Oryzias latipes: one gene and its partners. The protein of the gene in region 2 interacts with the protein of the main gene of each other region in a pairwise test. Links are inferred from orthologs where the notes say so. Each region holds a gene or a part of one and is shown on either strand. Other genes may lie near its edges. The genes, in order: plekhb2, cda and syntenin-1.

The links.
Region 1: the proteins of cda (region 2) and plekhb2 interact in binary tests that used the Homo sapiens proteins (3 or more experiments, as listed by UniProt). The two-hybrid records come from large-scale screens. The link is inferred for Oryzias latipes from reciprocal best matches to the Homo sapiens genes CDA and PLEKHB2.
Region 3: the proteins of cda (region 2) and syntenin-1 interact in binary tests that used the Homo sapiens proteins (3 or more experiments, as listed by UniProt). The two-hybrid records come from large-scale screens. The link is inferred for Oryzias latipes from reciprocal best matches to the Homo sapiens genes CDA and SDCBP.

The regions. Positions count from the first base shown.
Region 1 is NC_019862.2:3,232,272-3,235,547, reverse strand, and holds the end of plekhb2 (pleckstrin homology domain-containing family B member 2), read left to right. Parts: intron 1-1,525; coding exon 1,526-1,640; intron 1,641-1,722; coding exon 1,723-1,847; 3' UTR 1,848-2,701; downstream 2,702-3,276. UniProt on the Homo sapiens protein: Involved in retrograde transport of recycling endosomes.
Region 2 is NC_019863.2:29,307,561-29,311,885, reverse strand, and holds the start of cda (cytidine deaminase), read left to right. Parts: upstream 1-1,484; 5' UTR 1,485-1,485; coding exon 1,486-1,744; intron 1,745-2,533; coding exon 2,534-2,645; intron 2,646-3,526; coding exon 3,527-3,584; intron 3,585-3,759; coding exon 3,760-3,900; 3' UTR 3,901-4,325. Other genes in the region: trypsin-like, read left to right, coding at 837-989. UniProt on the Homo sapiens protein: This enzyme scavenges exogenous and endogenous cytidine and 2'-deoxycytidine for UMP synthesis.
Region 3 is NC_019865.2:5,706,351-5,709,913, reverse strand, and holds part of syntenin-1, read left to right. Parts: intron 1-705; coding exon 706-881; intron 882-2,036; coding exon 2,037-2,208; intron 2,209-3,508; coding exon 3,509-3,563. UniProt on the Homo sapiens protein: Multifunctional adapter protein involved in diverse array of functions including trafficking of transmembrane proteins, neuro and immunomodulation, exosome biogenesis, and tumorigenesis.

The DNA of each region.
Region 1 (3,276 bases), on a different chromosome or scaffold from region 2:
TATATAGCGCTTTTCTACGTACAAGGCCCAAAGCGATTTACAGTCCCACACTCATTCACACACTGGTGGCGGCGCCGCTGCCAAACGCTGGCGCCAACCTACCCAGAGGCAAGGTGGGGTTCAGTGTCCTGCCCTAGGACACTTCCACACATGGTGTGCAAGGCGGGAATCAAACGTGCAATATTATGATCATGGGTCCACCGCCCTACCGCTGCACCGCGGCCGCCCACAATTGATGCTCAGTTGTTTCCATATCCTCATTACAAAAAGTCCAACAATTTTCAGGAATCCCAAACCGTTCTCTGAGCAATTCCTTGGAAGAGTAAATACCTGAAAAGGTTGTAAGTGGACTTCTTTGGCTTTAGGAGGAATGGGAAGTTTTAGGAAACCATGTAAATGGATAAAACAGACAAAACATTTGAAGGCAGGGGTGCGTTTTATTACAAAAACAGAAAGCAGTGACTGTCGTATGTCATGCTCTGCTGTAAACCATGGTCTGGGGGGAGCGGGGCATTTCTAAAGCCAGCTGGCTCCGTGACAAGCACGTGCCACGGAATACACTGCTGTGTTGGTGAGCTCGGATCCATTGGGCGGGAACTACGGAAGCAGGAAGAGACATGCGGGGCGGTCGGGGCTTCTATAAACACTCCAGTGGGCCGGAGTGGTCTTCTGCCGGGGACTTGACGTGCTCCGGGGCGCAAAGCGACTTTCTAATGACAGAATTTGTGCTCAGTGAATTTAATCACACATGTGCAGTGTGTTATGTTTCAGAGGATGTTTGATTGGCCGTTCTGCATGTCAATCAAGTCCTGTACTTCTCGGTGAGGATTTTGATGATTGACGGATTTTTTAGAAGTACTTTTTTTATTTTTTTGGTTATTTATCTTTGCTGACCTGCGATCTACCCTCATGTCCTTGAAGATCGACCCGGCGTAATGAGCACCCCTGCTTTAACCCTTGTGCTATCTTAGATGACTACACCCTTCCATTGACGTGTTCTCCCTACCATGACAAAGGTGGATAAAGGTGGAAAGATTTCATGTAATCCATGGACACCAGTGAAGATCACAAATCAAAAAAGGTTCAGAGCACTGTCTAGTGGGTCTAGATGACCCAACTCCCAATGTTAAAGTGCCTAGGATAGCACAAGGGTTAAGGACTAGGTACGGAAAAGAGACCATTTAAAGCTGGGATTGACTGCCACCTGCTGGTGAACTACTGCAGCGTTCAACGGCTCCTCGATGCATCATTTGTTCAGTCTTTCATTATTTTCACTTGAGTACAGACACTATTGTCTGTAAATCCTTTTTGGACAAACAACAATGGTGCGCATGAGTTCCAAGGTATTTAGAGAGAAACACAGAACACCTTAATGCCCTACATGAGTGTGGACCAGAAAAGGTAACAAAAACAAAAAACCACCTATGTGTAGATTAGAGGCAAACGGTTAAACGTCTTGATTGAATGCAGATGATCATCATTTTACTGATGCTGCTTCATGAATCTCTGCTCACTTCTTGTCCAGGTTTACGCTCCAGGCCCGTATGGAGATTATACGGCTCTTCCTCATAACGCCACACAGGTTGTGTACTCTGCTGAAGGGGCACCATACAGCCTTGCTTATCCATATCAGTACCAAGGTGAGTTTTTACACGGCATGCGTGCTACAGCTCCAGATGAGAGAGGGTGGCAGTAAGCCCGGTCCTTTGTGGTGTTTCCCAGGCGCTGCAGTGAACCATGTGGTCATTCGGGAGCGGCAGCGTGAGGACGCCGGAGACGTGGCTCTGGGCATGCTCGCCGGAGCAGCCACTGGCCTGGCTCTGGGATCCCTCTTCTCCGTCTTTTAAAGTTATTGCACATGCGTCCGCTCACTTTCATGAAGTCTGTGGGGGTACGTCTGAGAAGAGTGACAGGTGGAGGCATACGTCCTGAATACTAGAAGCACTTTGGCTGTGTGGCAACCTATTTGACGTGTCTTAACATGAACAGTCTTAACAAAAACATGACTGACTTCTAAAAGACAGGAAACACTCCTTATGTATGCACACTTTAGGTCCTCTCAAGCACATTTCTGTCACTGTCCTGGACAGTGGGCACAGTGGGTGTGTAGTCTGGATGGTTTTGTTTACTCCCATGCAGGTTTGTTGTGAATCTTCTCCTTGCTAACTGTTCATGGTGAATGCAGCCTTTAAAACCAACACGTACAACTTCACACAAATGCTACCTTTCACTATGGAGCCATCTGATAATGGTAAGGGTAAAAAGATTACCCTTACCATTAGATTTTCTGAGCGTGTGCATCCTTTGGTGCTTTCCTCTCATTAGCAGCTGTTGATTTGTTTTTGTTTAAAATAATGGTTTCTGCCGTTTAGATCCGTATGTTAGCGTGAACATCTTCTCAACCATGTTTCCTCATAAAGGCCTTCCATTTTTCACGTCAATTGAATTGTATTCATTTATTCTATTAGAAATGCAGTTTAGGCCCCAGGAACAGTGTTTCATATAGGGGTGCTTAAGGTTCATGATTGTGCATTAGCAATGCTAAAAGCTAATATTTGAGGTAAAAAAACATAGAGCTTTTCCTATGGCCTTTTGTTTTCAAAAGTGGATTAAAGTTAAACGGCGTTCTGCCTGGAGAACTCCTCCTGAGTCTGAAACGAGTTCATGAAATGTGTGATTAATAAAAATAGTAACAAACTTGTTTTTGTCTCATTTATCATCCCTGAAAGTTGTTCACGATGAGATTCACGAGCGTAGATGAAGAAGCTCTAATGTCAGAGCAGGTCTGTCCATTCAGCGGAAGCAATGAAGCATCCTTATTCCATGGTCTGGGTGAATACTGGATTCTGATTGGCTGCTGGGTGTGCATTAAAAAGTGATAATGCACACCTGCAAAAGAAGTCCCGCTCACATAGTTTAAATGTTCTGCGCTGGCTTCTGTAAAACAACCTTTTGCTTCATCGTCTGGACAACAACAAGAGATAAGAGGTGAACTTTCTCTCTGGACTGCTGCTTTAACGATCAGCATAGATATCAGTTTCCTTTGCCGCTATAGTCCAGGTCAGTGCCGGCTCAGCCGTTACCACAACAACACACAGCACCACCCATCAGTCCATTTATTTTGTGAGAAGCGATTTAAACCGAAAAAATAACATTAATACAGTAGTAAAAATTTATTGAATATTCATTTCTTAAGTGGCCGTGGTATCAGCGGGATGATGGCCTTCAACGTGACAATTATCAGAAATGACTGTACGGCAGCAACCGTGTGACGGC
Region 2 (4,325 bases):
TCAACATCTGCTACGCTCTACCTGGAGGATGCCATTTGGCTCTCACTCCAGCTGATTTCACCAAATCATTCACTTTAACACGTATAGATCTATTTATAGAATGCATCACAAAGATCAATTTAAGAACTTCCTGAACTGAAAAACACTTTCAGGAGCAAAAGCACAGGCATTGAAATAAAAGTGGTTTTTGTTCGCTTGACAAATGTACAACACAATGCGACACACACACTTTTAAATACCAAAACAAATGTGTGTATTCCTATCACACGAAAAAATAATACTTTTTAATCAACCAATTTGTTTTATTTTGTCCAATTAGCTAAATTGATTGAAGCTGTGCATGGAAACCAGTGAGTTTGGAAGGAGAAACCTCTGCTGTGTTAACATACTCAAAGGAATCGGACATTCCATTGAGAACCATAACTTATGGCGAGTTTCTATGAACCCCGCCTGTGGAACGGTTTCCCAGAGAGCCTCAGGACCACACAGACTGCTCATGTGTTTAGAGGATGACTCGAGTTTTAATCTGGCTTTTAACGGGAATTTAGCAATACAATTATTTTATGTTTAATTTATTTGGTGAATCCTTTTGTTGTTTTGTTACTTATTTGAATGGATCTTTTTTAAATTCTTTTGCAATTTTATCAACTTTAGAGATTTAGCAAATTTTGCCAATTAAGGTTTATTTATTTATGTTTACACCTGTAAGTATTTTATTCCTTTTCATTTTTTTTTTGTTTTTTCATGTGAAGCTCCTTTGTGCTACATGAGTATGAAACGTGCTTTTATAAACAAAGTTAGATTTGATTTGATCCAATATTATAACATCTCTGCAGGGGGATTCAGGAGGCCCACTTGTCTGCAACGGTAAATTTGAAGGCATTGTCTCTTGGGGCATCGGCTGTGGCTATGCGTCCTACCCTGGTGTTTACACCAAGGTCAGAAACTACCTCATCTGGATTGACCAGGTCATCCAGAGCAGCCCATAACTCCTCAAACCACAAGAAAGTACTGAATAAAATTTCAACTGTCCCAAAAGGTTTTTTTCTTTCACTTTGTATTCCTGAACTTACTAGATAATTTATCTTCAATCTTCAAAACTTGTCTTAAATCTGCAAAAGTATCTTATTTTAGATTCTAAAAATCCTCATATTTCTTTTAAAGGTCCTTTAAAATGATCAATAAACTAGATTATATAGATGTTTGAAACTTTAAAAAGTTTCACCTCCTGATGTTTTTCTGTCTGCTACCTACATTTTTCTTTAATCCTGAAAATAAAGAGACATATTTTGTCAGACTAAACCTTCGGATTTTGCATCTTTTGATCCATCCTGACGCAAAGAAGTCATTCCATTTAGGGTCAAACCTGCTTCAAACTACAGGAAAAAAACGTTCTCATCCTGCAGCACAGCTAACGGCCTGACAAATGATTGGCTGAGATCAGGCGTCGTGCCTCTGCCCAAATCACATTTAAAGCTGAACTGCATGACAATCATTCACCCACTCAGTGCAGAGGTATCACACACAGCCTCAAAGCCAACCTCACAAACATCAAGCATGGAGGAGGTCAAGTCTGGACAGAAGATCACAAAGATCCAGGATGAAGGCTCCAGAGACCTGTCCCCAGAAACAGTTCAAAGACTGATTTTTCAGTCTCAGGAGGCGAAGAAGAAAGCGTACTGTCCTTACAGCCAGTTCAGAGTGGGAGCTGCTCTCCTCACCATCGACAACCGTGTCTTCACAGGTGAGTCGCACCTCATCCTCTCTGATTCAGTCATTTCATGTCCTGTGATGCCAAACAAAACCTAAACCAGATTAAACTGATGATCAAAGAATCATCCGGCTTTCACGGCTGCTTGGTGACCCTCAGCAAAAAGTATATACATGTACTACAAGTTTGCTTAGTCTATACTACGGTGAGGTACTTGAAGCTTACATTTTTATGTACTATTGTACATTTTAAACAATACCAATTTAGTCTGAAGTACACATACATGGTATACTTCATAAAATAAACTTCAAGTGTAGTACTTTTTGCAACATTTTCAGCTCTGTGTAAGAAGAAGCAAATAATAGCGACTCAAATCTTTTTGGGAAAAACTTAGGAGAAGAAAAAAAATAAAACTTCAATCTGACATTGAAGTTGTCACACAATGTTAATGATTAGCTGACAGGGGAAATGACTGGACTCCAGAGTGAAGGTTCACATTTCTAATTGGTCATTACAACACCACATGGCGCAATTTTCAGATTCCAAATTTGAATTTTTTGGATTCAAGTTCTTCATGAAAATCTGTTTCAATTGCAACTTTTGTCCGAGCGAAAGTTTTCTCCTTTTGTGTCAAAATCCCTGCACACATGAAAAGGCTTGACAAAACCTTGAAAGGCTGCTGGAGGTCCAAAGGCTCACTGACTATTTGATTAAGCTATAGAAAAAAAAAATCAATAGGCAGCCTCTTTACAGAGAAAAGGACCCCTTTTTCTTTGGGACATATGCATTTGGTCACTCTGTTTTGTCCCGTGTCTCTGACAGGCTGCAATGTGGAGAATGCATGCTACAACCTGGGAATGTGCGCTGAGCGAAATGCCATGGCAAAGGCGGTGTCAGAAGGACACAGGAACTTCAAGGCGATTGCAGTCGCCAGGTGAAAAAATGAAACCGCCATTTTTGAAAATTCACTCCATCAGACACCAGCATCTTTCGCCCACTTTACAAACTTCTTTGTGTTTCTTTTTGCACTTCAGCACACCTTAACAAATTATCTTAGCGATGTGACCATTTCTGTTGAAGCAAATGCTCGTATAGTAATAAAAAGTCAAAGCATGATTTCTCTACAAAAACATCTCTTTTTACACTTCATATAAAACAAAACTAAGTGTAGGATGGAATAGCTTGTGTTATATCTTGTTGCGTCATTTGATCTTGAAAACATTTTATTTTAAGCAAAAATACTGATTTAAAATATGTTGTTTATGTTTTTGTGATGATGAATGGTCTAGGAATGAAGGGTTTAAAGACACTGGACGGTTTTATTTGACTTATAGCGTGGAACAAATGCATTTAGCAACAACAGGACAAAATTTTTAAATGAAACAATTACAAAATTATAATTTGTCGACACATTTATCTTAAAATGTGTAATTATACTCTTGAAATGATTGCAGTTTAGAAATAAGAATAGCTGTGGTGTTGTAGTGCAGGCAAAAGTGAATAAATGTACCTATGATAACAATTTAAACTATTTTTTGATCAAAAGATGGCTATTTTAAGACATATTACCAACTACCAGAGCAGTATACCTGAATATGAGTGTTTATAGGTGATTTCAAGATTTCACTTACTCTTAAAGGGGTGTAATATATTACTAATTATTTTAAAAAAAAATCTCACAAAGACAAATTCTTTTAGTTCCATTGGCAGATTTCTTCACTTATAACAAGGAAAAACATCTTGAATTCTATATTTTTGACTTGCTTTGAGGACATTTTTTATGAAGTTGCTTCGCTTTCGTGTTTCCTGCTGCAGTGACGTGAGGGATCACTTCGTTTTCCCATGTGGAGGCTGCAGACAGTTCATGAGAGAGGTACTGTTGGGTCATATTGCTTCATTCTGAAGGCTCTGTACCTTCAACACGTCCAAAAGATCCAAACATTCTTTAAAAAAAAAAAATGCAAACATTTGCTTCAGCTTGACAAACACATTGAAGCATCTGAACAAGAAGATATTCCTGAGTCACATTTACTTGTGTTTTTTTCCAGTTTGGGACGGACTGGGATGTTTACCTCTCCCACCCTGACGGATCTCACAGAAAGATGACTGTGGAGGAGCTGCTGCCCTTTTCTTTTGGCCCTGAAGACTTGTCCAAGAAGAAAATACCTCACACTCCCAATGAGTACTAAATGGTTTCCAAAAAACCTGCGTTCAAAAAGTCAATATTTACCAACAGTTTTAAACGTTGCAGCAAATTTTCATTCATGTTTAAATTAATAACAGAAATTTGTGTCTTTCCACGACCGTTCCGTGTATGTCTACCAGACTTTTCACGCATGTACAACATTTATATGGCGTGTACGGCATTTATCACGTTAAAATTATGTAATTGACGCACAAATTACTAATGAATTTCATGTAAACAGAACAATAATTACGCACAGTTCATGTTTTACGTTGATTTATCTGTTCTCTGCGTGGTTCATTTCCTGCAAACTGTCTTTCCTGTTTAAATTATTTCCAGAATATATTTAATGAAAATGTTATTAAAGCTTCCACTTTAAATGCATGAGAATATGCTACAATAAACCATAAAGGAAGATTAGGTTTGAAT
Region 3 (3,563 bases), on a different chromosome or scaffold from region 2:
TTGAATGTGTTTATGGTTATGGCTGTAGCTCCGATTTAAAAGCTTTTTTATCACACTAAAAAGCTTTCATCTCAAATGTACAGTGTTCCTTCGTTATATCTCAGTTCACTTTTTATGGTTTCAAAGTTTTGCAGACAATATATAAGCACTTTGAGTTATGCTTTTATATGGAATGTGCTTTATAAAGTTTGATTTGATTTGACATGTCGGTGCAATATTGCATGCTTTTAAAAAAAACAATTCTGAACACTGTGTTCTGCATCCCGATTGGCTGTTGACCGTCCTAATCAATCTCCTCTGTGCCGTGTGTTCTTTACGGATTGTGTGCCGTTTGCTAAATCTAAATCGATCTTTGTTTCCCATCTTTATTTCTGGACTTTTTTACCATGAAAGTTTGAACTATCAGGGTTTATACAATAGAGAAAAGTGTTAAAATGTTCATGTCTGTCTGAGAAAAGCGTATAAAATGTGTAGTCAGGGGTTTACAGCCTTAAAACATCTGTAGTCCTGCTTCACAGATTTCCCTCATTTCAGGTTATTTTTAGATGCAACGTCCTCGATAAACAAGGGAACTCTGTATTCACAGTTTTGCTAAAAGAAGAGTCCGATTAGTCATTTTCTTTACTTATCTCATGACTTTTATGTCTGATTACTCGGATTCATTTCCTTGAGAAAGCCTGAACGTTTCTCCTGCCTCTCCCTCAGGGGGTGTTCATCCAGCTGGTGCAGGCCAACTCCCCCGCCGCCCTGGCCGGGCTGCGCTTCGGCGATCAGGTCCTGCAGATCAATGGGCAGAACTGCGCCGGGTGGAGCGTGGACAAAGCCCACAAGGCTCTGAAGGCCGCGGCCGAGACCCGCATTGAGATGGTGGTCAGGGACAGGTGTGTGGTAAATGTGCTGAAGGTTATAAACGGGAAAGACCTTCGACATCTTCGTCCTGAGATTGGCTGAGAATTTGCTGACTGCTCAGCTGAAGGATTGTTTAGAGGGATGATTGACAGCAGCCAGCAAGGATTGTGTTTGGCTCCTTTGGTCAGAGTTATGGAAACATGTTCTGCCATCTCCTTAGAAAGCAATCTCCAAAATGACAGAAAAGTCTCCTGAAAGACATTTAGTTGATAACAAATATATATGTTTTTTCAAATTAGGTGCTGAGGAAAATGTGTACCAAATGATGTGTTGCTTAGCAACCTCAGTTTTTATTTTCCATGCCCACTACAGTAGCTTTTTTAATATTGCTGCGTTCAGTCAGCAGAAGAGTTTTCTTAAAAACTAAAAATGCAGCATGAAAAGGAAGGGAAGTGCATCACAGTCGTCTTGAGAGCTTCAATAAAACGCCATCAGCTCAATTCTGCTTATCTTCTCAAGGCCAAAAGAGACTTTTGGGTCCATTTGGGCACAAAAAATACATAACTTGGCCAGAACAACCTTTTTACAGAACAATGAATTGATGTTATTACTTTACAAGTAACACGCTTGTTTGTTGGCAAGAGTTTGAATGTTTTTTTGAATGTTATCAAGTGTTTCGGGCATCATCTAGAGTTGAAAAATTTATTTGTTTGAACTTTTCTTTAGACATTTAGACAATGATTCCTGCAATGGGGTTTGATCATCACCTCTGATACTCCGATCCTTTGAAAAGTAACAAACTAAGCATGTAAAGATGCTGCAGAGGGCTTTTTATCTGAAGCAAAGTCACTTTCAAGCTTCGCTTAATGTCCAAATATCAATCACATAAGCAAACGATGTAGTAATTGCTATGAACCTCCAACTCTAAGCTATATTTGAATCCTAATGTGCATGAAACGACATTTACCTCGATGATGCAGGGTAAGACTGTTTAAACATGGTTGCTGCTTTCATAATTTTGATTTTGGTGCACAGACACAACTCTGAACACTGCTTCACTTTTTAACAACTTCTCAGCAAAAAAGTTTCAGCCATTTTTGATTAGACATCTTAATAATGTCACTAAAGATTCATTTAATCCCTCAAATTCTCCTGCTGATTCACAGTTCTCTGTTTTTTTCCTCCAGGCCTTTTCAGCGAACTGTCACCATGCACAAGGACAGCTCTGGACATGTGGGCTTCATCTACAAGTCTGGAAAGATCACCTCACTGGTCAAAGACGGTTCTGCTGCCCGGAACGGCCTGCTGACCGAGCATTACATCTGTGAAATCAATGGACAGAACATCATCGGCCTCAAGGTGAGACACAAGTCCTGTTTGTGTTTTCAATAGCGGAAAATATTAGCAAAAACCCTATTTGTCATTTTGATGTGTGGTGGCTGACTTTATTTCCAAAGCCTGCACGAGGAAGACGACTCCAGAAAATAGTAAAAAAGGGCAGTTTTAAGGAAGCACAGTTCATGGTTCAGTGAGTAAAAGCAGCTAAAGTCTGTAGTATGTGGTGTGTTAGTTACTGCAGCTCCAAACGCGTAGGACCATCGCTCCTGATCCCTGTGAGGTTTGTGGGGTTTGTGAGGTTTGTGTTTCAGCGTCAGTTGAATCTGTTTTAATATGTCCCCACAAATTCAAGTCAATTCTTTTATGAAATACACAAATCAATTTTTACAGCCACATCTAAATCACAAAGTAAAAAACATGACATAATCAAAAGTGCAAAGAGTATCTGATATTAGAATGGGTGAAAGATGTCATAGACTCAGAATGCATAGATAATGGTTTGATATTCAATCCTTTCCTCATGAATCTGAATAAAATCATGAGGTGCCTAAAGATTCACACCCCCAGGCGGGAGTACTACCCACTCAAAAAAATAAATGTGATCTTCTGTTTTCTTTTTTAACTTGTCCTGTCCAACAAACAGCAAACAGATGAGAGCTGAATGCCTCTTGTGTTGGACATATTTTATTTTACAACAGGGGTTATGAATCTTCAGAAAAAACTGCCAAGTAGCCCCCCCCCCCCCCCCCCCCCCGGTGCATCGCAGGCTGAATTTATATTCTGTACTATTAGTGAAACCCTTTGATACAAGTGTGTTGTAATATGAAGGTATATAAATAAAACTGAATTGAACTGAATATGTGTGCACGCATATGTGTTCAGTTCTGTTTTTGGCGCCATGATAGACTGGTTTACCCTCACTTTCCCCAAAAATTTTAGAGCCTAACCAACCCAAGACCATTTCCAGGAAACACTTTACCTGATTTACTTTACGTAGATTTACTCGCCATTTTTCATTTAACCACACACCATTGACTGAGTGCCGCCCCCCCCCCCCCCCCGGCGTTATAAACAAGTACCCGCTGGCACCAAGAAGCAAAAATCCCATAGACTTGTATTGAGAAATAAACATGTTACTTAGTCATTTTATTTGGTCAGAAAAATCCTTCTTAAACTGATACTTAAACTGGGAGGACTGGGAAGTTTTTATGGGTGAAAGGATTTGAAAATGGGGGAAGGATGCTATGGAGATTACTGTACTTTGCTCTTTTACTGTTAAAAGGATGGTGATTAAATCGATTTCATGTATTGATCATTTTAGGATTCTCAGATCAAAGACATCCTGAACTCCTCCCCCACCGCCATGACCATCACCA